Rhinolophus ferrumequinum: one gene and its partners. The protein of the gene in region 1 interacts with the protein of each later gene in a biochemical or structural test. Links are inferred from orthologs where the notes say so. Each region holds a gene or a part of one and is shown on either strand. Other genes may lie near its edges.

What was found.
Region 2: the proteins of SKP2 (region 1) and CCNE1 form a complex in vitro, tested with the Homo sapiens proteins (2 studies listed by BioGRID, with this or other methods). The link is inferred for Rhinolophus ferrumequinum from reciprocal best matches to the Homo sapiens genes SKP2 and CCNE1.
Region 3: the proteins of SKP2 (region 1) and CCNA2 are reported together in a solved structure, tested with the Homo sapiens proteins (2 studies listed by BioGRID, with this or other methods). The link is inferred for Rhinolophus ferrumequinum from reciprocal best matches to the Homo sapiens genes SKP2 and CCNA2.

Annotation. Positions count from the first base shown.
Region 1 is NC_046290.1:23,650,129-23,660,335, reverse strand, and holds the start of SKP2 (S-phase kinase-associated protein 2), read right to left. Parts: upstream 6,765-10,207; 5' UTR 6,615-6,764; coding exon 6,571-6,614; intron 6,202-6,570; coding exon 5,930-6,201; intron 1-5,929. UniProt on the Homo sapiens protein: Substrate recognition component of a SCF (SKP1-CUL1-F-box protein) E3 ubiquitin-protein ligase complex which mediates the ubiquitination and subsequent proteasomal degradation of target proteins involved in cell cycle progression, signal transduction and transcription.
Region 2 is NC_046298.1:1,954,280-1,964,486, forward strand, and holds the start of CCNE1 (G1/S-specific cyclin-E1), read right to left. Parts: upstream 7,300-10,207; 5' UTR 7,131-7,299; intron 6,677-7,130; 5' UTR 6,648-6,676; coding exon 6,625-6,647; intron 6,513-6,624; coding exon 6,425-6,512; intron 6,190-6,424; coding exon 6,121-6,189; intron 2,186-6,120; coding exon 2,040-2,185; intron 1,958-2,039; coding exon 1,822-1,957; intron 1-1,821. UniProt on the Homo sapiens protein: Essential for the control of the cell cycle at the G1/S (start) transition.
Region 3 is NC_046301.1:4,675,407-4,685,613, forward strand, and holds CCNA2 (cyclin-A2), read right to left. Parts: upstream 6,683-10,207; 5' UTR 6,416-6,682; coding exon 6,215-6,415; intron 5,426-6,214; coding exon 5,182-5,425; intron 3,900-5,181; coding exon 3,787-3,899; intron 3,587-3,786; coding exon 3,363-3,586; intron 2,689-3,362; coding exon 2,481-2,688; intron 2,053-2,480; coding exon 1,939-2,052; intron 1,549-1,938; coding exon 1,415-1,548; intron 1,083-1,414; coding exon 1,034-1,082; 3' UTR 762-1,033; downstream 1-761. Other genes in the region: EXOSC9 (exosome complex component RRP45), read left to right, coding at 181-265; BBS7 (Bardet-Biedl syndrome 7 protein), read right to left, coding at 8,554-8,687. UniProt on the Homo sapiens protein: Cyclin which controls both the G1/S and the G2/M transition phases of the cell cycle. Functions through the formation of specific serine/threonine protein kinase holoenzyme complexes with the cyclin-dependent protein kinases CDK1 or CDK2.

The sequences.
Region 1 (10,207 bases):
ACGAGGAGGCAAACGTGGGTCTGCTCTGTCTGTTCCAAACCCCACGCCCCAAAGTAAAGGCAGAAAGCCTTCAGAGGTGGGTGGTTGAAGGCTGGCCCGGTGGCAGGGGGCACGGCAGGTGGGGATATGGTACTTACACAGGAATGGCACGGCACTGTTGGCATTTGGGGGGATGAAGGGGTAAGGCTGAAGACAAAAACGCAGGGCACAAAGGGAATGTCCTCCGTCAGAATACGAGTAATCTTTGAGGTGGGGGAAGGAGCTTCAGGAAAAGATGCAACTATGAGAAAAGGCACAAAGTCACAACCAGCTGGTAGCAGAGTGGGAACTGAGACCCAGGGTCTGACTCTTTCTATTCTGGGATGTGCCCTCTTTCTACCCTTGGTGCTCTAAAATTCTGTGCTCGCCCTGTTCTGGGTACTTGATATTCTATAAGTTTAGGAAAGGAGAGAATTAAACCTGACTTGCTATGGAAAAAAAAAAAAAAATCAATCAGAGCTGGGAGGGAGGGGTGAAGGGGAGAGGGTGCAAAACAAAAGGTGCTGAGAGCTATCAGTGTGTCGGCTACCAGACGGAAGGAGCGATGGCCAAGCAAATGCACAGCCTCAGGAAGCAGCCAAGTACCCAGGGTTCCACTCAGTTAACCACAGGGCGGCAGTGCTTCTCGGGCCTCTGGGTCGGGGTGCCACAGCCTGAAACTGGCTGCTGTCCAAGCAGATGGGATACAAGTCTGTCTTCCTATAGCTGCTCTGGCGGATGGTATCCAGGCTTGTGATATGCTTAATTTAATTTTACTTGCCACATTGAATTCTCAAAACATCAACCATCTGTTTCCTGGATTCCTGACTACACTGCCGCCTGGTCTGTTTGCCCAGAGCGGAAGAGAAAGTCCAGAACAGGTCTTTCCACCGCTCGCCTCTTCTAAACCCTCCAAGGCTGCACACCAGCCCCGCACAGTAAGGGAAATAATTATCCAGCCCAAGGCCTCCAGGCTCCAACTACATGGCAGCAGTGAAACATACTTCTGAGCCATGAACGGGAGAAAGCTGGCTGGATTCACAAACCTGCTGTCATGACCCTAGGCCGTCACCATTTCCACGTATCCCTCAGGTACAAACCCAGCTGTCCACTCCGGTCACCTCCTCACTGCTCACACCTCTTACACTCCTCTGGAAAGAGCCTCTTATTGAAGAGTTTTCTGTGCATTACATCTTTGCACGATCGGTAACTCCTCTCATTGGACATATTTACTCCATATTTACTCCTCAGGTTTGCTTTTGCTAGCTTGTTTTTGAGTAGTAGCAACTCTTACACTTCCTTTCTGGGAAGCTACTACTACCTAACAGATTCTGCCATCTGAGATGCGTTTTCCTCCCTCCTCCCACAAATCATAAAGAGAAAGCACTAGACTATGCTAGCTCTTCGTATATGGGTTTTTTTCATTTTTTTGTTTTGTTTGTTTTTTGGGTAGGTGGGCAAAACTGAAAAAAGAAAAACATAGTAAAACAAAAAACAGAGCTCCTCAATGAAGCCCCTCAGCCTCAGAACCCTAGATTTCTGTGAGAGTCTGGCTTATGCACGGCTGTGGGAAGAGTAATGGAGAAACCATGAAAATTGGGATTTGGAGAAGAAGGTACAGTGTATAGACTCTATGACAGCAGGGTCTTTTGCCTGTTATGTTCCCTGCTGTCTTCCTAATCTCTAGAATGATGCTCAATAAATCTTTGCTTAATGAATAAATGAAAGGAAGCTACAGAGCAAACAATGATTCCTGGGAGGGTCCCATAAAGGTTCTAACAGAGCTGAGTTTTGGGAGCTGCAGGCTGAGATTCATGGGTGAGTCAGGACATGAATTTAGTTTGATCAGCAATGTTTTTGAAAGAATGGAATGGAACAGAATAGGAAATATCTTACTAAGGGGAAACATAGTTTAGTGATATTTCTGTTTCAGATACACACCAGGAATGCAATGCAAAATATATAACTTATTGGTTAAAACAAAAAAAAAGTGGAGGCAATGTTTGCCTGCGGGTGTTAAAGCTGATTCCCAGGCTCAAGGCAGGAACTTCGTGATCAGAATCTCAGGAATTTTGCACTTTGAACAAGTTCCCTTGGGGGTATCAGCATACTCTAAACTCTGGAGTCTCCAGTCTGAGAACCAGCGTAGGGTCTGGAATTTGAAGCAGTTTAATAGCCATGGAAGAGCTGATCCACAAATTAGTTCACCAGTGTTTTCATGGCCATCCTGTTTGGAGGGGGACGTGGGGAAGACAGGGGACCAGGACAGGCATTTCATGACCATGAATAAATGCAGGTCCTCTTACTGCCCATTGATGACCTTGCTACTGGCCATTTCTTCCCAACTCCACACACCCCAGGGGCCAATCAGACCTGTCCTGGTACAGTTGGCCACATAGTTTTTATCTTCCAAAATAAACAGATAAAAAGGATTTACTGGCCAGATGTGAGCCTGGCTTGGAGCCTGCAGGGAGAGACTGCTGAGTGAAGAACCAAGAAAAACTCACGGCCCAGGGCCACTGTCATCAGATCTCTATGTATAGCAGGTGTGGCCTGTTCTACCCTAATCCTGGCAGAGCTGTTAGCCACCTGTCCTGACAACTGCACACAAAACTCCCTGGAATGACGATCCAGTACACTGGAGTGGGCTCCTAAAGGCCCACTGGGAATCCTCTGTACCAGCTGTCTTCCTCCTGCATCCTGAATCCATCTCTGTGCCCCTCACCCACACCAACTAACCAGTCTCATTGCGTGTAATTCCACACACGTACAATGTATACTACCCTGTTTCCCCGAAAATAAGACCTAGCCGGACCACCAGCTCTAATGCGTCTTTTGGAGCAAACATTAATATAAGACCTGGTCTTATACTATATTATATTATATAAGACCCGATCTTATTTTACTATAAGATTTTACTACTTATTTTACTTATTTTACCTTGAACAAGCATATTAATGTTTGCTCCAAAAGATGCATTAGAGCCGGTGGTCCGGCTAGGTCTTATTTTCGGGGAAACACGGTAGTTTCCCTCCCTGCCTCTCTCTCTCTCTTAGGTAATAATGATAAAAACAAATCTCACAAGTTTTTCTTTCTCACTTTACATATATACCACCGGTGACAAAAAATGGTATACATATGACTTGTATTCATATTTTGTTATTGGTATATATTGAGTATTACAATTTTAATACAGTTGTTTCCTTTCTTAAAATGTGTATACATTTTTTGGCACCCTCCATATATTTGAAGTCAATTCTAACAATCTAGTCTCTGATTGGACCACTTCCAGATCCTTCTCCCTTTTCTCAGAGCCTCTGCTTTTGTTGAGTGGAAGGAGGAAGACTGTCCACATCCAGTGGGGATTCCCCTAGGAAACCCTCTGCACCTGGGAAGCTTAGGGTCACTTTGGCACAGGCGGTTCTCTCCCTCTGTCCTCCTATGGCACTCGCTGCCTGAACCACACATTGGCTGCTAGCTGCCATCTTTTGCTGTGAGTTTCTCTTTCCTCCTCAACTTGACTTGTAATTGCCTAGAAGACAGCAACCATCCGTTAATCTTGTCTTATTTCCACAGTGCCTTACTTAAAAAAAAAAAAGTCTTTTTTTATTTACAACTGTGTATGTGAATGCGGAAGGCCATACAGAAATCACACTCCTCGTTAAAAGCTTTCGGCATTGGACAAATTAACATCTGCTCGTTTAGCAGGAAGTGTCTTTTTATTACATTTGGTTGGTTAAACATCAAATTGCTAGTGCTGCATTCCAGACACTAAATAAAACAGAGACATTAAATTTTGAAGGAAAAAAAAAAAACTACACTAATAGGGTCAGGTTAACAATATTAATGACCAAAGAACAAGTGAAGTAACCTCCAAAATGGATGTCATACATTTTGTTGACCAAATTAAATGGATTTACTTACTGACTGTTATATACAGGAAGCATGGTAAGAGCTTTACATGCATTCTTTCATTTAATCTTCACAGCAACCTATGACGTGAGTATTATTTGTCCATTTCTCAAAGAAACTAAGGCACAGGGAGCTCAAATAACTTTCAAAGGCTGATAAACAGAATAAGGATTCAAACTCAGATTTGTCTGACTTCACCACAATTTTTTACTGCCTTTCTATTTAATCCCACTCCTGATATAGATTCCAAGATCATAGCTTGAAGATTCTCTTTCCTAAAGAAAGTATTGAAAAATGAAAAAAAAAAAAAAAGATTTTTTTTTTTTTAAAGCAAAGCAAGCAACCAAGCATCCCTTCTGCAAAGAAAGCTAGATGGGAGAATTTAGGAATATACTTATTTACCTTGGCTCTGCAAGACTTCCTTTTTATTTCTCTAATCTGTTTCTTCTTCTCTACCATCACCCACCCAATTCCAGTTTACACTCTGATTGCTCTTCAACAATTTCAACAGTCATGCAACTCTATCAGCTCCAATTTCAGAATCTATCCAGAACTCTATTAATGTAAGAATCTATCCAGAATCTGGCCACCCCCCTCTTTACAAGTCTCTATGCTTTTACCCTTGACCTCATACAGTTTAGTCTCCACACATCAGTGCATCTTTTAAAAGGTCACATCACAACTTTGCCCAGTATCACCTCTAGCCTGATCTCCCACTACTCTCCCCCTTGCTCACTTTTGAAGAATGGCTTCCTTGTTGTTCCTGAAGAAACATGACATGCTTCTGCCCCAGGGTCTTTGCACTGGCTGTCCTTAGGCTTAGGGCTCTGTTCTCCAAGATACTTGCATGGCACATTCCCTCGCCTTCCTTATGCCTTTGCCTAAAGCTCACTGTCCAAGCGAGGCTTTCCTTCAATACCCTGTTTAAAATTGCAATCCATCTTCCCACCCCAGGATTTCCAATCCCTCTTGGCTTGTTCAGTTTTTGTTTTTCACCATAACTAGCACTCATCACGTTCTAACATACCACATACCATATTTAGCAAGTTTATTATGTCCTCTCTAGAACAGAAGCTCCATAAGGGTAGGAATCTTTATGCTTTGCTCATTGCTCTTTCCTTAGCACCTTGAACAATGCCAAGCACATAGTATGTACTCAGCAAATACTTGCTGAATGAATGTCTTAAATGGCTTACCGGCAAGAAAAACTGATAACCTGAGATCAATGCAAAGCACTGTGTTTACCCTATGCTTTGATGATAATTAAGAGGGGAATGATATGGTGAGTTCTACATTTCAGTCAGTCCACTCCAGCTCTGGGGGATGGATCTAGGAAGGACAAGGCTGGAATAATGAGTTGATTCAAATATTCAGGGCAGTGATGATGAGAGCTTAGGAAATATTTAGGAGACAAGAGGGAAAAAATTCAATCATTGGTTGGATGTTGGGGGATGGCGGGAATATGACTGACCCTCAGGTTTCTGGGTTGGGTCACTGAACAAATAATGCTCTGTCTCCATTACAGAATGGAGACAGAGCATACCAGAAGAATCCCATTTGGGAGTGGACTTGGGGGGGGTTAAGTCTTAAAATTCCATTTAGTTTAACATTCACTTTAGCAGTCTTTTGACAGATCGTGATGGCAAAAAGCTCAACCAGGACTATAGAACAGCAGAATAAAAACAGAGTCCTACAAGATCATTGCTTGTGTTCCCATTTATCTGGCTTTTAGCTGGCTTTTGAGCCGGCAGATTCCTTTCTAAGGAAAAAGGCAGACTGTCTTCTCATGGGTTAAAATTTCACATAGGTTAAAAATCGATTGTGCAGTAGATGATAGTACATACCTAAGATTCCTACAGACTTCAGCGACAATGAATTGTTCCATTTCTTTCAGAATTAGGCATTTTTTAAAGGGCCCCAGCCTAAAGACCCCTGAACCAAGGCTTACCAGCAAAATAGTTCAACTAACCCCTTCTGTGACTGACAGTTTTACCCTTACCTGGAAAGTTCTCTCGATTTAGCTTGGGTCTGCGGACAATCACAAAGTCCTTGTCATTCCCTTTGCTCTTCAGCCGTTTACGTGGGGGGCTCTGCGGGTGACTCAGGTTTGAAAGAAGTTCCTGGGGGATGTTCTCACTGTCCACCTCCTCCTTCTCCAGGGTGGAGACCCCCATGCCTGACAGCAGTTCAGAAGTCTTGCTAGAATCCCATCCCCACGTGAAGCTGGTGGTAACGTTGCTACTCTGGTCAGGAATCTCCTGGAGGTGTTTCCTGTAGAAATGCACAATAGCCCCTGCTCCTTTCAGAAACACACCCATAATAACTGGTAGGCCTAAAGGAAACTGCAAGTTATGCAATGCAGAAAACTTTCACAGCAACTAACAGAATTGCATTCTTTACGTGCCGCAGGCAAGTTCCCAAGAATGAAAGATAAAATAACCGAACAAATCGAAAAGGCCTTTTGATTTACGATCATGCAGAAGGCCTCAGGAATTTCTTAAAGTGGAGGAAACAGACAAGCGAAGGAGGGAAATCATACAGCAATTCAAAACGGTAGCAGGAAAGCCCAATACAGTATCCATGGCCTAAATGAATTAAGACAGTCCATTCATGCCCTGCTGCTTTTTGTAATCGAGTTACCTGTGCATGGCGTCCACAGGTTCGGGAGTTTTAAATGCATGCATTAATTGCAGTTGCCAGCCTCCCGGATTCCCGCTTTGGCGCGCGGCGGTCCAAGGCTTGTGGCTCCGGCCCCCAGCAGCGAGACCCGCCAACTCTAGCAACGTTCTATCCCCGCCGCGCGCGCAGGGCTTGTCTACTTGATCTCCGCGGCTGCCTTCTGCGGCCCCGCTGCCTGCTGGGAATTGTAGTCTCTGCCGTGCCGCGTAGTCCGGCTGGCTCAACATTACTTCCTTCCCTTGCAGCTCTGCCAGCCTTCGAGATACCCACAATCCCCCGCGGTTGCGGGGTTGAACAGCCCAAGGTATAGGCGGGGAAGCGGAAGCGGGCGGCGCTTCGGCTGACTGGGACTTGTCATCCGTTTGACCGGGACCGGGTATTCCTTTCCCGGGAACCCGCAGGCCTTCTGGTGACCGCCACTACCATCGCCTCGGAGCGTGGGTCCCAGATCCTGGAGGCTGTGGCGGACGCGGAGTTTCCTGGTCATTCCAGACGCTGTCTGGGGAGATCGGACGGTGAGCCTCAAGGGGAGAGCGTGAAGCACTTTGGGGTCTGGGATCTGGGGCCGGGCGTAGGCGGAGACAGGACTACGAAAACCCCGAGCGGCCGCGGCCGCGGCGGCGGGGCCCACGTCCTCGGCAGCGGAGTGGAGGCGGTGGCCCAGCCCGCCGGCCAGGTGAGAGGCTGCGAGCCGCGAGCGTCGCACCTGCTCGCCTCTGCCCGGAAGCTGCGGCCCTTAATAGGACTGGGTCTGTGGACTGGATCCTTTCCTCATCTGTAAAATAGGCACGACGACCACAACGCTCGTTTCACAGGCTTGGAGTGAGGGTCAAATTAGATAACGCGTGTGCAAGCGTTTTGTAAATGAAAGCGCAGTGCGAACGAGAGGAGGTTGTTTAATTCTAGGGGAGCAGGAGAGCACAGTGATGCCTGTGTACCGTGGGAAAGCTGCACATCCCCTTGCAGCCTTGACAAGTCTCCTAAATGCTAGCACCGGCACGGATAAGGTACCTGTGTGTTTGCAAAGGGCTTTACAGTGCAATGTTAGGGCCACCAGCAAAGCCATTCTGTGGCTTTCGCTCTACCGCCTGCGTCCGGTTGCGCCGCGGTCCGAAAGGGAGCTGCCTTTAGTCTGTCTCCCCGGAGGAGAGTTTGGAAGGGAGGCGGTTAGAGTAGAGGGTGTGCCATATTCCAGGTAGGATGACCGTGCGAAATCCATTGTGCGAGCGATACTATGACCGTGACCCCGGGTAAACAGTGGAAGAGAGAAGGGGAATAAATTCCAACCCTAATAAAAATGGAAAAGATTTAAAAAGTTCACCAGTAAGCAGGCCAGCGTCACCACAAACATTACATCACTATGCTGTATGACACACCTTCTTACTTCTTTAACTGATATACTTTGTACTAGAATTAAACCTCCTTTGCCCGCGTATGTGCTTGTTCGGGGCTCGGTTCTTAGCTTGAAAAGTAAATACCGACTCTTGACAGAAAGGTATTCATGAACCTTTAGTTTGTTCTTGAAAGGAGGTGGAATTGTTGTGAAAAGGGATCTGTTCACAAATTCATCTGGATTGAAACTAGGTTAAGACTAACTAGAATGAATGTTCAGAATTCATTAAACTAGTGTTATATGGAAAATATTTTTAAATACAATATTCTGATTTTTTTCCGTAAACTTGTCTTTGTTACTTTGGCTAAGGAAAAAGCGGTTGACTTAGTTTGAAATCTACATCCTTTCACTTAAAATTGCAAGTCATTAGAGAAATTATTGTTAACAAAAAAAAAATAGTCTCCTTCAGGAAATTGAACAAGATGGAGCTTATAAACTAATGGAGGAGAAAGAATAAGTAAGACAAAACTATTTAAAATGCCATAATAAGAATAAACAAAAATTTGACATGAAAAGACCACTTTAAATAGAGCTGATAAGTGGGAAAGTCTAATAGGGTGATTCTAAATTTAAAGATGAGAAATATTCTTGTGCTACGATTTAACTATTAGTTGCCTGAGAGCTAGGGAACATTTTTAATTCTCAGAATATTTGAAATATCTGAATTGGTGGACATGAGGTCCTGTATAGGACTTCAGAGAGAGAGCCTGTCAACTTTGAAATTCAGTCTTCAAATTCTAGAATAGCCATTTCCCTAATAGTTTGCCCTGGTCACAGAAAAATTTTAGCTTGCCAAAATGGGAATACTTTTTTCTGCATTCCTTCTAATCATGGCTGTTCTCTTAATATAGTAAATAAAAGTTTAAATTGGTACATGTAATTTTGTTTAAGGAATTGTATCCATTGAAGACATAAGATTACTAGCTATGTAGAGATTGATGTCTGGTGTTTTCAAAAACTACATTGTGATTGCAACTGATACGGATTATTTTCCTGATTAATTGTATTCATTGAGTCTTACTCAGCACACCCATGTCCCATTTTAGTAAAAGAGGTATACCAAATTTCTAGAAGTAGAATTACTAGATCAGTATTTAGGGCAGATGAACTAATTTTTTAATGTCTGCAAATAACATTAAAGTGAGTAATTTCAGGTACTCTTTTTAAGTTTAGGATAGAATACGAAGTGACTTTGCAAATTGGGAAAGTGTTTATCATCCAAAGTGCATAGTTACAAGGTGGTCAATATTGTCGGCACAGGAGAGGCCAAAAAGCAGTGGAAATTACATTTGATTCTAAGCTGTATCTATATTCAGTAATATATTAGTATTTTTGAAAATCAAATATGACAAAAGAGATTCTATTTAAATAAAAGGGTGGTGTGCTTTTTTTCTTAGCTCCATAATAGCATGAGGTAAATCTTAAAAAAGATTCCTTTAGTTATTTTTTTTTAATGTTATTTAGCTTAGGGGAACAAAAGACCAAGAAGGGTTCTTTCCCAATTCTCATTTTATCTATGTTTTCTTTCCTACTTTTCCCGCATAGATTAGAGGCATACATTATCCTTAAGTCATGGCAGCCTGACCTGCAAGATAAAAAGGCTTGGTTAATTTCTGTATTAAACATGACTTTCTTAGCATTCTACCTTGATATATCTAAGGGAATAATTAATAGGAGAATGTTTGTAATTTGTTCACTATGAAACCTGAACAAGATAAACGATTTAAACAGTTGAAATTAAGAAAGTTTGTCTGGACTGTAGAAGAGACTGTAGTATCCTAATTGTGAGCTAGGCTCTGCAGGCAGGATGCCTGGGTTTGAATCCCAGCTCTGACCCTTTTTGTGCTATTTCTCCTTTGTTAAATAGGATACTAACAGTCCTTTATTACTGGGTTATGAGGTTTAATTCAGTAAAGTATGCTAGCACATCCTTGGAATCTAGTAAACGCACACCAAACATTAGCTATTCCTTTTTAAAAACAATCATTTTCTTGCTAGGAAGGATTCTAAGGATTATTCTCTAATTACCAAAATAAGTCTTACAATCTCTTTACCTGAAATCTTCCATTACAATTCCAGTTGTTTTCTTCTTTCCTGCTTATGTGGTTGCTACCTCTCCCTCTCATGCCTTGCCAAAGGTGAAAGTTTTTTTGTGTCCGTCTTTCGTCGGAAGGGCAGTCACACTGTACAGTTCAGTTCACCTGG
Region 2 (10,207 bases), on another chromosome or scaffold:
AGTACTGTAAGCGTGTTTTCTCTTCCTTATGAATGTCTTAGTAACACTTTCTTTTCTCAGTGTACTTTACTGTAAGAACACAGTATATAACAGATATTATACTAAACGTGTTAAGCAACTGTTCGCAGTAAGGCTCCCGGTCAGCAGTGGGCTATTAGTTAAGTTTTTGGGAGAGTCAGAAGTTATACATGGAATTTCGACTGTGTGGGGTGGGGGCGCCCCAACACCCGCATTGTCCAAGGGTCAACTGGATTGTAAAGTCCAGATGGAGCCACAGTTAGAGTCGTGTTTACAAAGTAACACGACGATAGTCCGATTAGTAGTGAAACTAGACCTGGTCTCTGAGGAACAAACTCAGCCCCGCTCCCCAGCTCACAGCAGGTACATAGCCAGGCATCACTGTTTCCGTGTGGACGTCCTGGGTGGGCTGGGGGCCGAGGAACTTACGTCTTAACGTCGCTACACACAAGCCTGCCTGCGAGCTGTGGACTCCAGTCAGCCCCTCACCGACATAAAGGTCACCCTTCTTTCCTAGCCTTTCAGTGCTATTACTGACAGTTTTAATCGACTTTCAGAGAAACGTATTTGTCCAAAGTCGACGGAACCCTCTGCGTTATGTAAAATAGAACCTCTCGGTCCCAGGGCCTTGCGGGCTGGAGCTTGAGACTGAATCATACTACTTCTGGTGCTGCAAGGACTCAATGTCCCAAAGGGCGCAGAAGGGCCGCGTGCCACGGGGCCTGCTGGGCGACCGCAAGGGCTGCCGCCCTACACGGCCCTGCCAAGGATTCCAGCACAGAAAACGCTGACACTGACATTTCCAGGGATCAGTGAAGAAAAGCAAAGTAAGAATGATAAAAACAGCTACCTTTGCGTGCCTACTACGGAAGCGGCACTTCATATACACTATTTGTAATCCAGACAAACTCTGCATGGAAAATACCACTAGAAAATGGTACAGATGAGAAAACCAAGGCTCTCAGCTGAGTGACTGGTCTAAGGCACACAGATGGCAAGTGGCAGAGGGAACCTGATTCTAGGATGAGCACAACACAACTGGCTTAATAGGGGTACGCAGATTCATCCTCCACGTGGACTCCTTCGTAAAACCCATCTGGTGAGATGACCTTCTACGTCACAAAGAAAGCCCCTCTCTCACTCACCCATGGCTTACAGGTGTCTGGGAAGTGTCCCTAAGCAAGGCACTGCTGAGTCCCCCCCCAGTCCCCCCATGAAAGAGGTGCACGACCCACACAACAGTACTTTTCTATGATTAACAATTATCGATCACAATTTGTAATACTTGTTCTTTTGACCAATTATTTCAGAGAAGTGCGACGGTGGTCAATAAAAGATTTGACTGATACATTTTGTTAGTTAAAAAGGAACAATGTACAATTTCTGTTCAAGGTAAGCTTGTTCATTTTTTTCGTTTTCTTCTATTTGTTGTTCATGTACTTTTAAAACTTATAATATTGGCTACTGAAAAGCTGTTACCTGCATTCCGCTGGGTATGTCTAAAAGCAACTTAATCAACAAAGATCAAATATCAATTTTTACAGTTAATTGGAAAAGACCTTTGCAACTGTTGAAACTCTGATGAGAAACATTAGATGCCAATTTAAAAATATCTAAGGGTCAAAGAAACTCCAGAAATTCTTTGAAGCACAAATGCAAGCCATGTTCAATCATGCTAGTATATGTACCACAGCTTCAGAGACTCAGAATGTGCCAATGGGATCAAACCCACGAGGAGGTCGTGACAGCACAGAAGATTCCGGAAAGGGTCAGCGCTTCCCACTAACAGGGAGAGTGGCTCACCTCCATCAGCCAGTCCAGAAGAATGGCCCGCATTTTCGGCTGCAGGAGAGGGTGCCGCTGTAAAAAGTGCTTGTCCCTTAAGTACGTCCTTTCCTTGTTTACCATGATTTTCCAGACCTCCTCTCGATTTGCCCAGCTACAAGAACAAAAGAGGGGTCAGGTGCAGCCACACATAGCAGCGGCCGCGGGGGCACGGGCGGCACTGGGCAGCAGCGTACTTCAGCACGGGCAGGGGAGAGGCTCGGGCAGGCCTGCCGCTGTGAGGCTGGCGCGTGGAGTTCGGGTACACCAGCTCATCCTCTTCTTTGTCAGGTGTGGGGATCAGGGAGCAGGGGCTTTCACACACTGGATCACCGTCCCAAGGCTGGAAAGGAGAAACACGTTTGATGCAAAGCAGCTCTTTCTACATTCATTGATTTGTAGAGCAGCCAGTAATTCAAAACATGTCTTCACACTGGAGAGCAAGTCCCAGGCCTGAATAGATATTCTGGCCTAAATTAAGATGGTGATGGCGTGGATGAGTAAGAGCCGTAGTAATGGCCCCTGCATGTGAGCGTTCACTCCCTTCTGTCACAGCTTAGGAGCCCATGGGGGAAATAGCTAAGAAAACTACAAAGTCAGCAGCATTTTATCGCTCCCATGTCATTCTCATACGTGGTGCTTGAGCAGCAAAATGGGTGCAGGAGGGGGAAGATGAAATGCAAACAGCTTTTACATTACCAAAAAATATATATACACACAAATACATTTGCAGCTCAGGAAGACACTGGGAATGACTACTGAAGTGTATTGTGCGATTACGTAGTCACAACTCAAAGATTTGGTTTTTATCAAGTAGAAATAAAAATTTTTTGAAAGTGGCTGGAATTTCCAACAGGAGTATTTACATAAGCACTCCACATTCATAAGTATAAAAGATCAAAAATGTAAATTGCCACCTATGATTAAAGTCTCCCCATTTTAAAACAAAATGTCACATCAAATGTGACATCTTCCTTTGGTTGTAGGACTAGCCAAATACATTACATAATTGGGACTTTTTGTTTTCCTTAACTCAAAACAAGACAAAAAGAACATCTGCCCCATTAAAACCAAATCAAGTAATGGTCACAGGTTCTGTCAGGTTGGTACAAAAGTAATTGCAGTTTAAAAGGTTAAAAAAAAAAATTGCAAAAACCGCAATTACTTTTGCACGAACCTAACACTAAGACGACTTCAGAGACAGAGCTTAGCTACCCCTGAAGACCTCTGAATCCCGCCCCGGAAGCCCTACACCTGAGTAAGACTCAACTCTAAGTGAATAAACCATCTTTATAGACCAAAAGGCTTTTCTTTTAAAGATTCCAGATACTTACTTTTATTCAACTTTCAGTATCTGGAAAATACCAAGGTCATTTTGCCATTTAGGAAATTTTCTTTTTAAAGCTACTGTTTATTGTCCTAGTGTAAAAAGAAGCCTGATTGATTTATTTTTATTAAATGTATCGGGGTGACATTGGTTACTAACTTTATATGAATTTCAGGTGTACAGTTTTATAACACATCTGAGTACGCCACTGTGAGCTCCCCACCCAAAGTCCAGTCTCCTTCCATCTCCATGGATCTGACCCCCTTTACCTTCACCCCCCTCGCCCCCCTGGTAACCACTTTTCTGTTGTCTGTATATGATTGATTTTGTAAATTATAAAATAGTGATTTTGTTGAAGATATGGCAGATAACAATCTTGCCAGCGTGGAAGCACTTTGAAAGTCTGACACTCGTGGCATTTTTTTTTTTTCTGAAAGCAGAGAAATCATTAATGTTCACTAGAGAAGAGACAACTGAGATGACCATAAATGATCATGGAAACTTGGCTCTAAATCTATCTGAAAAACATGGTACAGGATGGCTGTCACAGCACACTGGCCCCTTTCAGAGGAAGCCACAGCACTTTCAGGGTCCTGAGAAGAGCAAAGCAGGACCGAGCCCTTCTCCAGCGTCCTGCACAGAACTGGGCATGCAAATTAACCACGACAGCTCTTGCCAACAGCTGCTGGACGGCAGCCTCCTCTTGCAGTCCCAGCACAGTGTGCTGGGAGCATTTCCTCGACTCAAAAAGGGTCACGTTACAACTGCTTTAGTTGCTCTTCATTCAAGAATGAATTCTAGCTCTGAAGGCAGAAGCTGGGTGCCACCCTCTACAGCTGGACGGCTGGAGAGCTGAGAGCAGGCCTTTGGAGACGAACTGGTAGCAGTTTCCAGCCTGCAGCTCACAAACCCACAAGCAGACACATGGTTCCCAAAGTTGGCCTTTTCAGGAGCCGTTGTATAAGTCTGTGTCCTATAACTTGGAGTGTGTACATGTTTCAAAGGAAGCAAGATCAGACTTTAGGGAGGAGTGAGATAATAGCAAGAGACCAATCACGACGATTCCTAACTGCCCCGACTCCTGATGCCACTTTTAATTAATACAACTACCTTATGCAAAATTACGTTCTGAGAAGTAACTAACAGAAAGTCCATGATTCCACTTCAATACAAAAAGTTGCATCTCATGCAAAAAATGGATATATGAAGTGGACTTTAGACAAAAGGGTATTCTTTTCATTAAGTCAGGTCCAGGGTAAGACTCAACGGTTCCCTGTGGTCTTGATGAAGCAGTTACGTGGAGCTTGGCATGATGGCTACAAGTCACTGAAGGCTGTTGTACTAGGCTGAACTATGATAATGGTGCCATTCTGTGTAGTTAACAGGCAGAAAGGCTCTGTGTTACCCTAAACTTCTGGCTTCATGAGTCTGCATCAAGACGACTGCTCCATAAATGGGTGGATAATTTTTAAGCTATCTAATCTACAAAACGTGCAGAAACCTGTTGTCATTAATCTCTGGACAACCATGAAGACGCCTTCCAGTGAGAAATAACCTGGCTATTCACATATCACGACTGTCACCTTTCCACAGGCCAGGGACTGCGCCACAGCTCCATCTTAGCAGCCCAGGTGCCACTCGGGAGATCCGTCAGAACAGAAACTACCTAAAGCACCAAGAACTCAACATGGACAGCTTTGCTTCACCTCAGTTGGAAATTTCAATTCAAAACACAGCTGGGCAAATAACCAATCTTGCATTTCACAAAGTAGAGGTCCATTTTATCATACCCACAAAAATCAACTTGCTTGGTTTGAAAATGAGAAAAAGAAGGAACTTGGGATGCACTATCTTATTTCCTTTCCTAAAGTGACGTATTTTTTCTTCTAAGAGAGAAGGAAATCATCAGCCCCACAAATGCTAATTACTAGGGTCTTCCGTGCAGTGGCACACAGTGTGGCCCAGTACTTCGAAGCCCTTCCCTCTCCCACGCTCAGCTGCCACGGCTGATGCACACCCACTGCCCACCTGGTCAGGACCACTGCGTGCAGCCCAGGCTCTATTCCTACTCAGCTTTTATCTGTGCTCGGGTCAGAAGGCCTAATCAGCCGGTTTGGAGAGAGGCTGCTTTCCCTGCTGGAGCCGTAACTACAGTCTCCAGTCATTTCTGGAGGTAGACAGATAATACACGCTTTTTCTGCCAGGAACTTCTGATATTATAATGATATCATGAGCATGCAGGAAATTTGGCGGGAAGTCCGTGAAGGAGGGGCAGGAGAAATGAGATAGTCAACAAAAAAGTGTTGAAACACACATATCATTACACAGAATGTTCCACTAATACTCTGACGGAGGCCAGGTCGAGCCCCAGACAGCAGTGACCACACTGTAGGTAATTGCTGGAGAGGCTGGAAAAACTTCCAGAAGGGGGGGCAGGGCGGGTTTAAACCTGACTTAAAGGCAGTAGGAGGGGTCAGGGAGGTCCTTGAGCACCAGGAGGAAAAAAACACAAATGTGGGTGGGGGAGAAGCCGTTCTTATGAACACACACAAACCCCCATTATCACAGTTACCCACAGAGCTGTGTCAGGAGCCCTCCCCCATCCCAACCCCCCCCCCCTGCCAGAATAGAGACAAGGCTGTAGGATAGACAGCACCCCTGCTTTGCACAGGGCTCGGGGTTAACTTCTTCCTGAGTGTCAGTTTCCTCAAGGGCAAAAGGGGAGAACTGAGTTATTTGATGTCCATTCTGGTTCTTCCAGACATCAGCACATATTTGGAACACAGGACCTTCCTAGAATCCCAAGACTGGCAGAGGTCAGTGCCCACTGACAGGCGTGGTGCTCAGCCATAGGGAAACACCCTTCCCCAAGAGGCAAGGCAATAGGAGACCCACGGGCCCAGAAAAAGCAGGAGGCCCTCTACTGAGTCCCAGTCAGCAAGTGAACCTACCTGACTGCCACACTGGCTTCTCACAGTCCTGTCAATTTTGGCAATTTCTTCATCAGGATCTTGCAAAAACTAACATAAAACCATCCCCAAGGAAACACACCAAACAACCCAAAGACAAAAACACAAAAGAGAGAAGAAAAAGAAAGTCGGTTAGGGAATGGGCAAATTGGTTAGAGTAGGGCGATTTCTGCAAACCGGACCACCCCTCACCGTACCCCTCCATCAATAATGTGGGCAGAGCCCAGCCTGGTACCCAGGTAAGATGAGGGGGCAATCCTCCCCCACCTGTCTCCTTTGTACTCACAACGGCCACATTTGCCTTCCTCTTCCTGGAGCGAACAGAGACATCGGTGCAGCTTTCCTCTTTCATGGTGCCCGGCTCCTTGGCATCCCTGCAAAGCCGGGGTGGCACAGAGGTTAAGGGTGAGTTGTCCCCGGAGAAGGGCCCACCCTTCCCCCACCGCCGCACACCCTTCCCTTCCCCGCAGTGGCCGGGCCACTCACCTCTCCCTCCTCTCCCTCGGCATGGCGCAGGGCGCGGAATCACACCTCAGGCCTGGGGGGCACGAAGCAGGCATTGGGGTGAGGACGACCGGCGGAGGGGACCAGAGCCCGCCGGCCCGCCCCGGACACCCCTCCCCCTCCCGCGCGGGCGGCGGCGGGAGCCTCCCGGGCCGGTCGGGAAAATGGCCGATGGGCCCGGGGTGGCTTGTCACCCGCGGCGCCGCCAGCAGCCCGCGATACCGGGCCCGAACCCGGGGTGGGGGGGCTTGGACGCCCCGGAAACCCTTGCCGGCCCATCGCCTCCCTCGGCGCCCGCGCTGCCTCGGTCTCCCCTCCACTCCCCTCCTAGCCCGTCTCTGAGCCACCCTGCCCAGGCACCCCGCGCTGACGCCTCCGGGCACCCGGCGACCCTGCCTCGCCCCACCCCCACCCTCACCCCGGCCCGGCCCGGGCGCTCCGGGAGTCCTCGCCCGCCGCGCCGTCCGCAGCCCGTGGCGGGCCCTTACCCGAAGCCGTGTCCGCGACAGGCAGGCGGCACGCGCCGAGGCCGGAGGCAGGCAGGCGGCAGAGGCGAGCGGGAAGCCGGGAGGCGGGAGGCGGCGGCGGGCGAGCGCGCGGCGGTGGCGGGATCCGCGCCTGCCCCCTACACAGCGCTGGCGGTCGAGCCGGCTGCTCCTGCGCCCGGCGAAGAGCGGGACATTTAAAAATCTCTGCGCGCGGAACCGGCCCCCGGCCCGCCCTCGCGCCCTCCCGCCACCCTCCGCCCCGCCCCGCCGGCTCCGGGCCCGCCCAGCCGCCGCCCTCGGGACCGCCCGCCGCGGCGCAGGCCGGCAGAGGCGCCGGGCCGCGGGGGCGGGGCGGGGCCGGGGGGCGGGGCCCAGTGACAGGGCCTGCGCGGGGCGGGCCGCGGGAGGCGGGCCGGCGCGCGCGGCGGAGGGTGGGGCGCGCCGGGCGGACGCGGCGGAGGGCTGCGGCGAGCGGGGCGGAGGGTGGGCCCGAGGCGGGGCCCGGCCGCGCTGGAGCGGCAAAAAGCCGCGTGGCGGGCGCCGGGCGGATGTAAACACGGCTGGCGGCGAGGGTTCGGGCCCGGCCGCGGTCCGGCCTAGTCGGACCAGGGTTGGGGCCGCGGTCCCACCATTCGTCCTCCTGCCGTGCGCGCGCCCTGGCCCTCCTCGCAGGTCCTCTCCGCCCTGAGAGGCAGGGCTCCGGGCCCTGAGTCGGGGCCGGGATGTGCCCAAGGTCACAGCGCCGGGTCGCCGGGCCTAGACCCAGGGCCTCCAGCGGGCCGCTGGGTCTGGGGCCCCCTGTGGAACAGCGGTTTATTCTTGGGCGCACGTCCCTCCGTCTTTCCGTGCTTGTGTGCCTGCAAGCGTGCGTTCATTCATTCCTTCTCTCGACTAACAGTCAAGCCCCTTCCATGCGTGCCCCTGCCCCGCAAACCTATGTATGTGAGCATCAGACGACCTCTGTGACTCAGACTCCACGGGGCCCTCTGGAGCTAAAGCCTTCTGAGTGTTCGCGGTCAGCCTGAGGATCAAATCCACAGCCCCTGCCTTGACCTCCAGGGCACTACATGAACTGGCCCTCAGCCCGTCACACCTCCCCTTCAACCCCTCCCCTCACAGCTCAGGCCACCCTCTGTCCTTTCTCACCTCAGGGACTTGGAGCCTGTTGTCACCTGCTCTGGCCCCCTTGGGCTCTCCTCCTTCCTGAGGACTTCAAGGTCTGCAGTGACCATTTAACCTAGCGCCCGGCTCTCCCCAGGAGCTTCTCTCCACCCCATGGCCCTGCTGCAGGTCCCTCCCAGCACTTGCCACCACATGTCTCCTGCTCCTTGGTTTTTGCCTCGTTCGTTGTCCCTCCCCCTACCTTGTCTGTCTCCTTCCCGGCTGTATGCCCCAGGTATCGGCATAGTGGCTGGAGGAAAGGAGACACTTCAATCCTATTTGTGAATGAATGACTGAAAACCATACATGGACCAAAACTTGTAGAGCTTGCCGGCTGGTGAGAGAGGCAGCTATGGAATAATGTAACTTGAAAGTACCTTCTGTTCTCAACTTCTAGAAGCCTGTAGCAGAGGGCTGGAAGCACTCCCAGGTGTTCCCTGCTGTACAGTCTCAGTTTTGCTCTCTGACCCCCACTCCCTCATGATTGTCTTCTTGATGTTAGAGCCTGGGTCTTATTGAAGACTGTATGTTGTGGCACCTCCACAAAGACACTGCTAACAGGTTGTTGACCTTTCAGGGGCTCTGAGGTCAAGGCTGCTGAGGTGACTTGCTCAAGTTGGCTTAGGTAGGCTCGAGCTATACCCTTACGATCTGTGTACTTTGCTGTTATAGTTTAATAATCAATTTAAATGTTTTTCAAAAAAGAATTAAAACAAAGTAAAGCAAGACTTTAATAATCCCTGCTTACTTGGGAGCTTACAGTCTGGAAGGGAGGAAGTAAGCGGCAGTACAGACTGATAAGGAAAATCCTGGGGGATAAGACTTCACATGGAGTAGGGGGCGGGAGCATCCAACCTCCTCTTGGTTTCCAAGAAGGCTGCATGGAGGAAGCAGCATGTAAGCGGGAAGGATGAATGAGTTTGGCAGAGGCAATAGAAAAGAAATGTGCAAGGCAGCGGAAACAGACTGCACAAAGGCTTGGAGACTTTCGAAGTTACAGATGGCCACTCATCTGGGGCAGCTCACCTTTGGCTGTTTGGGTTCATTTCATGATGCACCTGCAACAGGTTCAGAGTGTCCATGCATGGGCTCAGCCTTGAGGGAGACTGTGGATGGGACTAGAGGTGGTAAACCAGCTGCTATGTGGGGAAGGCAGCAGCTTTGGGAAAGAGCCTTAACTGCTTCTTGGTGCCTCAATTTCCTCATCTGTAAAATGGGGTGATTCAAATTATCCCAACCTCCAGGGTTCCTGTATTAATGCCCATAATGCATTTGCAACAGTATCTAGCCAGTAGTAAGCGTTCACTAGGATTAACAATTATTATCCATAAAGAAATTTAGGTTTAGCACCAATGATGGTGGGAGGCTTAGGACAGGAGCCAGGATACCAGGGTTAAGGAGAAGTGAGCACATGGGGGTTGCCAGTGGGAAGTCCTTCCCAGATAGGATCCCTTAACCTGGGATCAGTTTTCAGGGGCCCAGGAAACTGCCCACAGACAGTGCCAGCCCACTGTGTGCCCTTTCCGGGGCAGCAGATGCATAACTTTTACCAGCTCCTTAAAGACACCTAACAGAAAGGTAAGGAGCACTGCTGCTGGAGAGGGTTGGTCAGGGAAGGCGTAGGCTGTGGAACTGGCAGGGGCCCTGCTGTCAGGCACAGCTGGACAACTGTACCTGCCTGGCTGGGCCAAAGGAGGGGCTCTTGTGCGGCTCCAGACTGGAATCCCAGAAGAAGAGGGGCCAGACTGGCTGCACCAGTGTGAGCTGTTGGTGGGGGCCAGGTGAGGTGAGCAGGACCCCCGAGTGTGGGAAGGCCCCGGAGTCATGGCTCCTGTCCTCCCTCAGCCCTGGAAATCTGCGTGCACAGGCCTGCCAGGTCAGCGGGAGTCAAGGACCCCAATCTATGCTCCCCAAGT
Region 3 (10,207 bases), on another chromosome or scaffold:
AAAACTGTTTGGATGCCTTTCAAAGTTACTGTATTTTACTCTCAGTTACTGGAAAACAGTAAGGCCTCCCATGTGATGCAAAATTTAATACACGCAATGGTGTGAGTCTGGTGAATCACCCATGGGATCAGCTTCTAGTACTGATACTATTAGTAAACTGTCGATTTACTTTATTCACAGAATACAGACCATCAATGCAAAACAAGAAAAAGCACCAAGTAAAAGGCCAGTGAGAAAGAGAAAAAAGAAGAGAGCTGCTAACTAAAGCTCACATGGTTGTATTTGTGTATATAACTATTAAAGGATATTTATTTAAGTGCTAGCAACCTTGGGTATTTTTTTAATTCACAAATCCATTATAAAATCTAGTCATTTCTTTATACTTTTTTACATTATGCTTTAAAATAAACCTTCTGAAGAACTTAACAGGTTATGAATAATTGTCACTTCAGTAGTGTAAAAGTTGATGAGGAATGAAGCATTTTCTTAGTGTGTACAAAGGGCTGAAAGAGTTATTACAACTTATAAATAAGCAGATTTATGCCAGATGTGTTTTGATTATTACGCCCAAGTTAGCTAACTGGTCCAGTTGCTTAGGAAAGCGAATGTCAAAACTTGTCTGTTTTCCTGAGACTAGTTAAAATTTAAAAAAACTTTAGAAGCCTTCCCAGTCCCCGTTATACTGTAAGAGACCAAATTAATTTTTCTGAGTGAAATCCTGAAGTCAAATTTTTGCCTCAAATTAAATTTCACTTACAAACCAAGTTTTCCAAATCAATTTATTAATTCTTATCCTGACAGTTGGCATCATTAATACTTTACCAAACGACTTAAAATTAGCCAAATATCTAAGATAGTTACATGTACAAAAGATATACAAATTAAAACCATTTAAAAAGTAATAGATACCATAATTTGCACTTGACCACAACTTTTGTATTAAATGATTGTAAAATTAAAACCTAAGATAAAAACTGTACACAATATGCTTTGAGTGATTTAAATCTTAGAAAATACAGGCAGTCTTTCACTGTTACACATTTAGTGTCTCTGGTGGGTTGAGGAGAGAAACACCATGATACCTGCAAGTAGGGGAAAAAAAACATTTTTAGTAAACATTCATTGAGAGAAGGAATGATTATGTATACTAGGAACTCAAAAATGCTATTTCTATCTGTTTGAGTTAATGATTATAAAACCATTGCCTGGTCCCCAAAACATGTGCATGCCCCATTCATCTCTCCTCATCTTCAAATGCAGGACAAACACATGGCCTGCTAAGAGAACAGCTGCTAAGGAGGCTGTGCCCAATTTGTGGATCCTTTAATAATAAAGTTCAAATGTCAAGGATCTCTGAACCATACGATAGCCTGGAAAAGCAAGCTTCTTAAAATCTATTCATGTTAATTCTTACTTTGAATTTTTGTACTTTTCTCTGATTGACTGTTGTGCATGCTGTGGTGCTCTGAGGTAGGTCTGGTGAAGGTCCAGGAGACAAGGCTTCAGACTTTCCAGGGTATATCCAGTCTTTTGTACTAATGATTCAGGCTAGAGGAGGGAGAAGAAAACCGCTGAGTTGTTTTTAGCGGCAGACACTATTAAAATAGCACTGAGCTTGAGTTTTGTTGAATTTCAGTACTAACACCTCGAACTAAAAGATCTTCCAGTTTTCTCAAGCCATTCCATCTCTTTTATGCTGACTTTGATCAATTCTTACTACGTTCCCTGCTAGTAGCAGGTCATAAGGCCCGAATTCTTTAAGCATGCCTTTCAAATTCAATACCTGAGCTTTGTACCTAACAGTGTAGATAGTTGAACAGTTTTTCCAGGTCAGTACATCTAGACAACCATCAGCTGTACACGACAGTTACTAAACTTAATGTGGCACAAGCTTGTAAGTGGCAAGGTAGCTGTGAAGACATCGTAGTACATACGTACCCAACTTTGTCCCGTGACTGTGTAGAGGGCTAGATGAAAGGCTGCTCCAGCGATAACTGATGGCAAATACTTAAGGTATGGGTCAGCATCTATCAAACTTAACTCTCCCAAAAACTGGAATGAAAAGTAAATATACTTTTGATCTCAAGAGCTCTAGGAATTCAAATCTCAAATCCCTGCCTTCTGACCTAATTTTTCCCTCGCTGTATAGAAACCATAGGAAAAAATTCCCATAGCCTCATCTTTTAGCTATATCCATTAACTAGTGTTTTGTCCCATTGTCTTCCCGTATTTTCCTCCTTTTAATAACTTTTAAAACAACTCTTCTGGCTACCCTACCATTTCCCCAGACTTCATCCTCAGGTCACTACTAATGCTTTCCCAATTTCTATTACCTTTTGCCGATGGTAGGCTTTCTGCCATACTGCAGCATTAATCTGTCCCCGAAATACTAAATCCCTTGGCCAAAGCTATACAGAAACTAGGGCTTGCCCTTAATTATGACCTAAGAATCTTGATTCAACCAAATGAAAAGAACTTACCATTGCTAAACTTTCCACTTTGCAGTTTGCAGGCTGCTGGTGCAGAAAGTATTGGGTAAGAAACTGATTCACCGTCGGTGCTGCTAAGTCGAAAGCAAGGACTTTGAGCACTAGGTGCTCCATTCTCAGAACCTGTTTCTTGGTGTAGGTGTCATCTGTAATGTACACAAACTCTGCTACTTCTGGGGGGTAGATTTCTTCAAACTTTCTACAATGAATAAAGTTTCAAGCAATCAGTCCTAAAAGAGAAGCTCGTTTATCCCAATTCTGAAACCCAGAACAAATCCACAGAATACACAGAACGAGTCCAAAACCTGTTCTCCACCCATGGCCCGTTTCTACTGATAACTGGTAATTGACCATTTCTAGCAGAGACTGGGGACATGCTAATTAAAAGACCCAGATCAATAAAGGACGTTTGAGCTATTTCTCCCAGGGCAGTCAAAGGAAATAAATGAGGCACAAGACTTTCCAAGATGGGAACAATACAGAGTTCACCAAGTAACTAAAAATTTAGAAACTTTTCTTAGAAAAATAAACGTTTTATGTTTCAGTTTTAAAATTTAGTTTTCATGTTTTAATGGGGAGAAGATTTTGCTTATGTTCCAGAAAGCACTTTTTAATGGAAGGAACCACACTTTTCAACTTTGTACTCTAGTCCTGGCGTATTAAAATGTAGCCAGTCTCCATGCTCATTCAGCAAGGTACCCTGGAATCCAGACCTGGAAAATGTCCTAAATGAGAAGTTTCACCCACACCTGTCACCGCTGAAGTAGTCACTGACTCTCTGCCTTGTGTAATATTAAATGTGACACTGTTGAAAATCCCAATTTCTTCCCTACACAGAAAGGTACTGATCACTTTTCACCCAAGTTGACTTACGAGGCCAACAGCATAGCAGCAGTGCCCACAAGCTGAAGTTTTCCTCTCAACACAGACATGGATGAAAGGAACCTATCGATGTAGTTCACAGCCAAATGCAGCGTCTCATTCTGGAGTTTATATTCTTCTCCTACTTCAACTAACCAGTCCACGAGGATAGCCCTCATACTGTTGGTGATGTCTGGCTGTTTCTTCATGTAACCCACTTTAGGCTTACATTTAATCTGTTGAGAAAGTTACTTAGCATAGATTTAAACATTTCAGTTAGATTATTCTATCATTAACTATGCTGCTATATGCTAGAAACCTAAGTATTGCATTAGAGCAATTCATTGGCAGTTAAAAAACTTCAAAGCATTTCCCTCTCAATTTCATTTCATGACATTGATTAACAGTATGAAAAGTGGATTCAGAGAGCCTTTACCTCCATTTCCCTGAGGTATGTGTGAATGTCCTCGTGGTAATCTGGTACTTCATTAACACTCACTGGCTTTTCATCTTCCAGTACAATTGACATGTCCATAGCATGTGGTGACTCTGGGAGAATTCAAAAGTACGATTAAGTTCACTGTTTAATTTAAAAAGTCACTGCCCTTGTAGGAAGTCCCACACCACGAAAGCATATATTTCACGTGATGAAAAAGGGCTTCCCATGACAAAGTACAAAGAATATTTATTTCACTCCGGTTTTAGTATCTCTGTCTACTTAGCTTTATCTAACAAGAAAAAATACTGATAGGCCACAAACAGGTAAATAAATGTGAGGATCATGTATTATGTATGTTGAAGTATCATTCAACTTCCATGAGACAAGAACAGGTGACATGATGGTTCCGTTAGGACAGAGTTAAAGTCCAGGTTTTGAGATAACATAGGATTTGCCCTAAGAATTTGCAGATCCCAAAGCTCGACATATTCAAAGCACAACCTACAAATTAAGTGGAAGCAGGGCTAACAAGTGTATTAATGAGAAAATTCGGTTTTTAGGTTTATTATGGGCACTATAAACAAATTAACACTGTAATCAACAAGTGATTCACTTTTGTAATTTTAAGTTATCTTTTGAAGCAAAGAAGATCTATTCTTCTTTTCACTTCAAGGTTCACTTTGAGGCTAAAATTTGTTGCAAATTTTAAATAAAAATACACAAATTCTTTGAATTCCGAAAGACTTTCCTGCTCCTCCCAGACCCCCACTCATCAATAAAACTAAAAGACTAGATTCAGTGAGCTGTCCAGGGACTCGAGCCCTATGGTTAGGCAGCAGCACAAACTGCAGGCACAACTGTCGAAAGCAGCTACTCTGATGTGTGGTTAAGACAAAGAGCCACGGTTCAGCTGCTGACTCACAGGACAGTGTTCCTCTCTGGTATCACAGGATCGCTCATATGCTTTCACAAAACAAAACTTTAAAGCTCAAGAGATGTTAGTAGATATCACAATATGGAAAGCTGCATACCCATCTCTGAAGTGGTATGAACAAAGTGAATCTGATGAATACAATTGAAATCTATTCTCCCAACAGAGCAAACATTTCCAGGGTCAGATTAAAATCAATGAGCTCTAATTAAATTGATGAGACTGGCAGTGTACTGGAAGGAACACTGGTCAATTAGGATTTTATTTCTTTTTTGTAGGTCACTAGGTCATGTACTAGTTGTGAGGTCTGAGATAAAACACCCTTTCTAAACTTGTGACATTAAGCCTAACTCATGTAGTAAGGGTCAGGTAAGATGCCTTAAAATGCGAAATATCATTAACCCAACTTATCTAATAATTATGATTACATCGATTTGATACAGATGTTCATTAAAACTTACCAAAACTGCCCATCATGGGGTAATCAAGAGGTACCAGTGGTTTTCTTGGTTCAGGTAAAGTAAGAGCTGAATTAAACGCCAGGACATCTTCACACTCTGTTTTTTTAGATTCACCTGGCCTCTTTTGAGTCTCTTCTTCTGCTTCATCCACATGGATGGTAAATGCAGGCTGTTGACTGTTTGCTTTCCAGGGAGGAACAATAATATGCTCATCATTTACAGGAAGATCCTTAAGAGGTGCAGCCTAAAAAGAAACGGATACTGATTTTCAGCCTATTAAATGAAGTTTTGCTTTCTTCCCCTTCTGGGTCTCAGCCTCTGCTTTACTCCCAACTACTCTATCAGGAAAATTAAAGTTACTGCGGCAAAATCCAGGCAACGAACTTCGAATAGTCGAAGAAAAGGAATGTTCCAATGTGTCACAGGCATTTATGCAAAGGTTATAGAGCGTCATACCAAGTGGAATTATGAGAAACTAATCAAGGCCACAAGAGGGGTGGAGTGGCTGAAAGGTGACAAGTTTAGGAAAGAGATGGCAAAAATGCGTTGCTTCACCACTTTCACCCCAGGGTGGAGCAACAGAGCAAATCGGGTAAAATGGCGGAATTTAGCAAAAACAGAGTATTTATTATATCCTTTTCTAAGGTAGAAGTAACCTCTTAGCCGCGTGGGAAGGCGGCAGCAGGTCCAGGTCCTAGAGCCAGCCGGGGGTTTAAAAACTATGAGAAAGGCACGGAGGCGGGCAAAGACCACAGTCATGCTGTAGAGCTTGGTTTGACCCCATTATCTACAGAAAAATACCCCCAATCGAGAGTAGACAGGCAGCACAATGCAGTTGATGGCCAGGAAAGTAATGGGAGAACTACGCCGGTGGCATCCCACACGCCACAAAACCAGAGATCGAGGGGATTGCAGGCCCAGGCCTCCCTAACAAAAAGCCCAGAGGATGCTCTCGCCCCTCTCCTCTGCCCGCTAAACCTTTGCAAAACTAACCCTCGGCCCACCCTCCTGCAGATATCGCTCTTCTCTTTACCCGTCTCGTCTTCGGTTTCTGCGGCGGCGCCGGACCCCGCTGGTTCCCGGCCTTCAGTACAGCCAGCCCGGCCCGGGTGCGGGGCTGCTGGGCGGGCGACGCCTTCTCGGGGTTGATGTTCTCCTGGTCCTCTTGGGGCGCCGTCTGCTGCAATGTTAGCAGCGCCGAGCCCGCCTCGCGGGCCGCAGAAGTGCCCAACATCACTGCTCCCAAGGACACGGCGGGATCAGCCTGCAGCGCCAAGCAGCGTGCACTCGGTACCGCCGTCCGGCCGCGCCAAGCAGTGCTCCAGCCGTAGCCGCCTGCCGCAGCCCGGGCCAGCCCGCCCGCGCACCCACCCACTCGGATCGCTGAGAACCGAGGAGGCTATGAAAGGCGCAGGCTGGCACCGCCGGGCGTGGAGAGCCTAGGACACCACCGAGACCAAGCGAGCAGCCCGCCGGAGAGGCGGCTGTTCATGCAGTTCAAGTATCCCGCGACTATTGAAATGAGCCAATGATCAAGGCCGGGGGCCCGTGACGTCACTCGGGGCGACGCGTCGCAAGCGAGTGAAGGCGGCCGCGCAGGCGACCGAGCAGGGGCTGGGCGGGGCAATGTCGGACGGCGGCGGGAGGAAAAACGCCTGCGCCGGGCGGGAGGCGGGGCCTGGCTTTACCGTGACTTTAAATGAAGCCACGGGGCGGTCCCTGGGCTCAGGGCTGCCCCTAGGATTAACCAGTGAAACCTGAGCCGTGATTGGTGGGCCGCCCCAGCCTTTAGCCCAGGGACCTCCAGGCTTTGACTGACTTGATTCCCAAAGTGTAAAATCTAACTGGTCTGGTAGTCTTGGTCAAGGTTATTCAATGTCTCCGAATCTGTTTTCTTATCTGCTCATTGTTAATATCTACACGTCATACTGTTGTCGTTAGGATTAAATTATATGCATAAATTATTTAACACGCTGCTCATGTAATAACATGTAATACATGGCAGATTATGTCATCTACCATTTAGATGCTTTTTTATTGTTCCTAATGAAGATGCAATTAATTTGAGGTGCCACCGTGAACTACTGTTGATACATATAACAAATAGTAATTACTACAAGAAATTCAACTAGTCATCAGTTCTGATCTATTTTAACCCACGATGTAGCAGCCAACAAAAAGCACCAGTGAAATTCTAGTGACATATTTATGTGTTCCATTTAGAAAAGGTTGTTTGAATATAGTAGAATATGTGACCTTATTAAAATAAAACTCTTAGTGATAAGTGCCTTTAACAGATTTTCACATTTAATATTCAAGGCTGTACATAACTAATAAATATAATGGTATATAATTAAGCACGATTGTTTTCTGACAAATTCATGAGTGTGTCCTTCTTAAAAACATAGAGAATAGCTGATTTTCCATTATAATCTTTATGCCATTTTAAAGTAAACTTTGAATACAATATTCCTCTGAGTATGAATAAACATGAATTAAGATTAATGAATAACACTTCTGTAGCCTTAAAGTCATACTTCCTTTCATACATGATAAAAAGGAAATGAGTGGATAGTAGTGCAGGAAAATCTAAGAAGCCATCACTATTTGTGCACTATTCACATGCACACTGGTCTAGCTCTATTTGTTACAGCACATGGAATTCAAGTCCCCCTCACCCCCAATCGGTGCGAGCTCTGCTTGTTTCTTTGACCACAATTAATAGCATTGAGCCAACTTAAGCACCTTACAAACTGAGCACTGGTCACGATGCTCATTACCAAGCAAGAGTGAAATCAACTGCAAGTCAATCTCTACTCCTAGGAAAAATAACTGGTAGGTTATTTCCACTGGCTGATAGCATATATGGTAACCAGGACACAAACCAGGCACTAGTATGTGGGTTCTCGTCCCAGCTTTACAAAATAAGAGCAGTCTTCTTCACTTAACCTCAGTGAGAATCAGTTTTCTTATTTGACAAAATAATACAGTTAAGATCAAAAGAGGTAAACGAATGCAAATACATTTTGAAAACTGTAAAGCAGTTTATATATATATAATGTGTGGGTAGAGCTTGTGAAATATTTGAATGTATTTTTATTTTCCAAATATTATTTATCATCATAAAAGTTAAAACATTCACTTGCAAAAAATTCATTAGGATACCTTATAATCATTCCACTTGTATTTTAAAAATAAAAATGCTCTCTATTTTTAAAAAGTTGCATTTGTCAAAAGAAATAGCATTACTAAAAAAAAGTTGTATCTCAAATATTTTTAGAAAATATTTAAAAATATTTGAAATGAAAGTATATATAGTTAGCTTTTACTTTTAAACAGACAACTTCTCTGGAACTTTACCTGGTTTATATTTCATGCAGCATCAAAGAAAGCAATCAATGCATTTTGGTCATAACTGTCCAGAATCTCCAGTAAAAGAGGAACTTTGGTTTTCACATTGGTGCCTTTAAACTTGAACTTATCTATGAAGAGATCGGTGATCATGCCTATAAAAAAAAATGTTAATTTCCTGTCATTGATTAGTTCTAATTAATGACATAGTACTTAATAAAAGTGAATGATTGCTTGAGACTCTATTTCTAAGCACCTGTAATTCCATTATTTATACACAAACCTGAAAGGATTGATGCTTTAAAAAATATTTATTTTGGGAGAATTTTAAAGGCAAGTTTCAAAATATAAATCAGTTGGCTAATAACCCTCTTAACAATTGGTTACAAGCTATTAATTCAGACAAACACTGTCCAGTCTTGAACTGCTCTCGGTGTATTTAACATCACAGCAAAAGGTTTGTTTTATCCATCAAGCTGACCATTTCAACATACTGTAGAAATTCTGTTCTTCACAAGTTTATTTATATTAAAATATTCCATCAATATGTTGACCATTCTTGGGATTTGACTTCCTAGGTTCAAAGATCTGGGCAAATTATTTCACCTTTAAGTTCTCTCATATGTACAATGGAAACGATTCAAGCTGTCAATCCATTTACCCAAAACCCTGGGTGGGAGGTATGTTTCAGAGTTTTTCAGTTTAGGAAGATAATAAAAAGAATATAGCACATATGGTATAATTCTGAAGGGGAGTGAATGACAGCATTTGATAACAAAACATAGTAATGTTTCTGCAACAAAATATATGCATAAACAATCCCACTAAGTGGAATAAAAAAGACTATAAATAATTTCATGTCAGTTTAAGTGAGATTTTGTCATTAAATTAATTCAGATCAAGTCAGATTTGATTTATGACTCACTTATCAAGCCAAGTGATTTACGAAAAACAGCTTTGTTTTTCAAAGTTTTCTGGATTTTGGAAGTGGTGATAAGAGACAGTGGGTCTGCACCACCCATCTTCTAGGCTGCTATAAGGATAAAAAACCATGTGCTTTCCATATAGTAAATACTAAGATATTAGATATTATTATTACAGTTTGTGAGCAAGTCCCTCGATGTAATAAAAGAAATTCATCAGGTAGGCTTAAGGATAAATGTAGATTGATGACACTAATTGACTCTATAGAAGACTTGACATAGTGCAAAAAGCACGCATTTTGGGGTGAGGAGGTTCTGCAGGCTTTGCCTCTACTTATCTATGCGACAACAAATTCTTTACTCTCAGATTTCAGTTAAAAAGTGTAAAAAATGGAGGTAACACCATCTACCTTGCAGAGCTTTTTTTAAGGATTAAGTATCCCACCTGATTATGAAGATGTTATAAATAAACAAGTGTGCTATGTACAGTAGGTCTTATGTAAAGATTGCAAAAAATAAAGTTTTTCTTAAGCTGGTCCTTCCTTTCCTCTTGCTCTCGTTCTTTTTCAGTATAATTTGTGAAATACCCAACTTCTACCACCAAAGCAAAATGAGTTTTTCGTTTTTTTGCTTTTTTTTTTAAAGGAGGGTGCAGCTCACAGCAGCCCATGCAGGGACCGAACCAGCAACCTTGGTGTTATCAGCACCATGCTCTAACCAACTGAGCTAACCAGCCACCCCACAAAATGAGT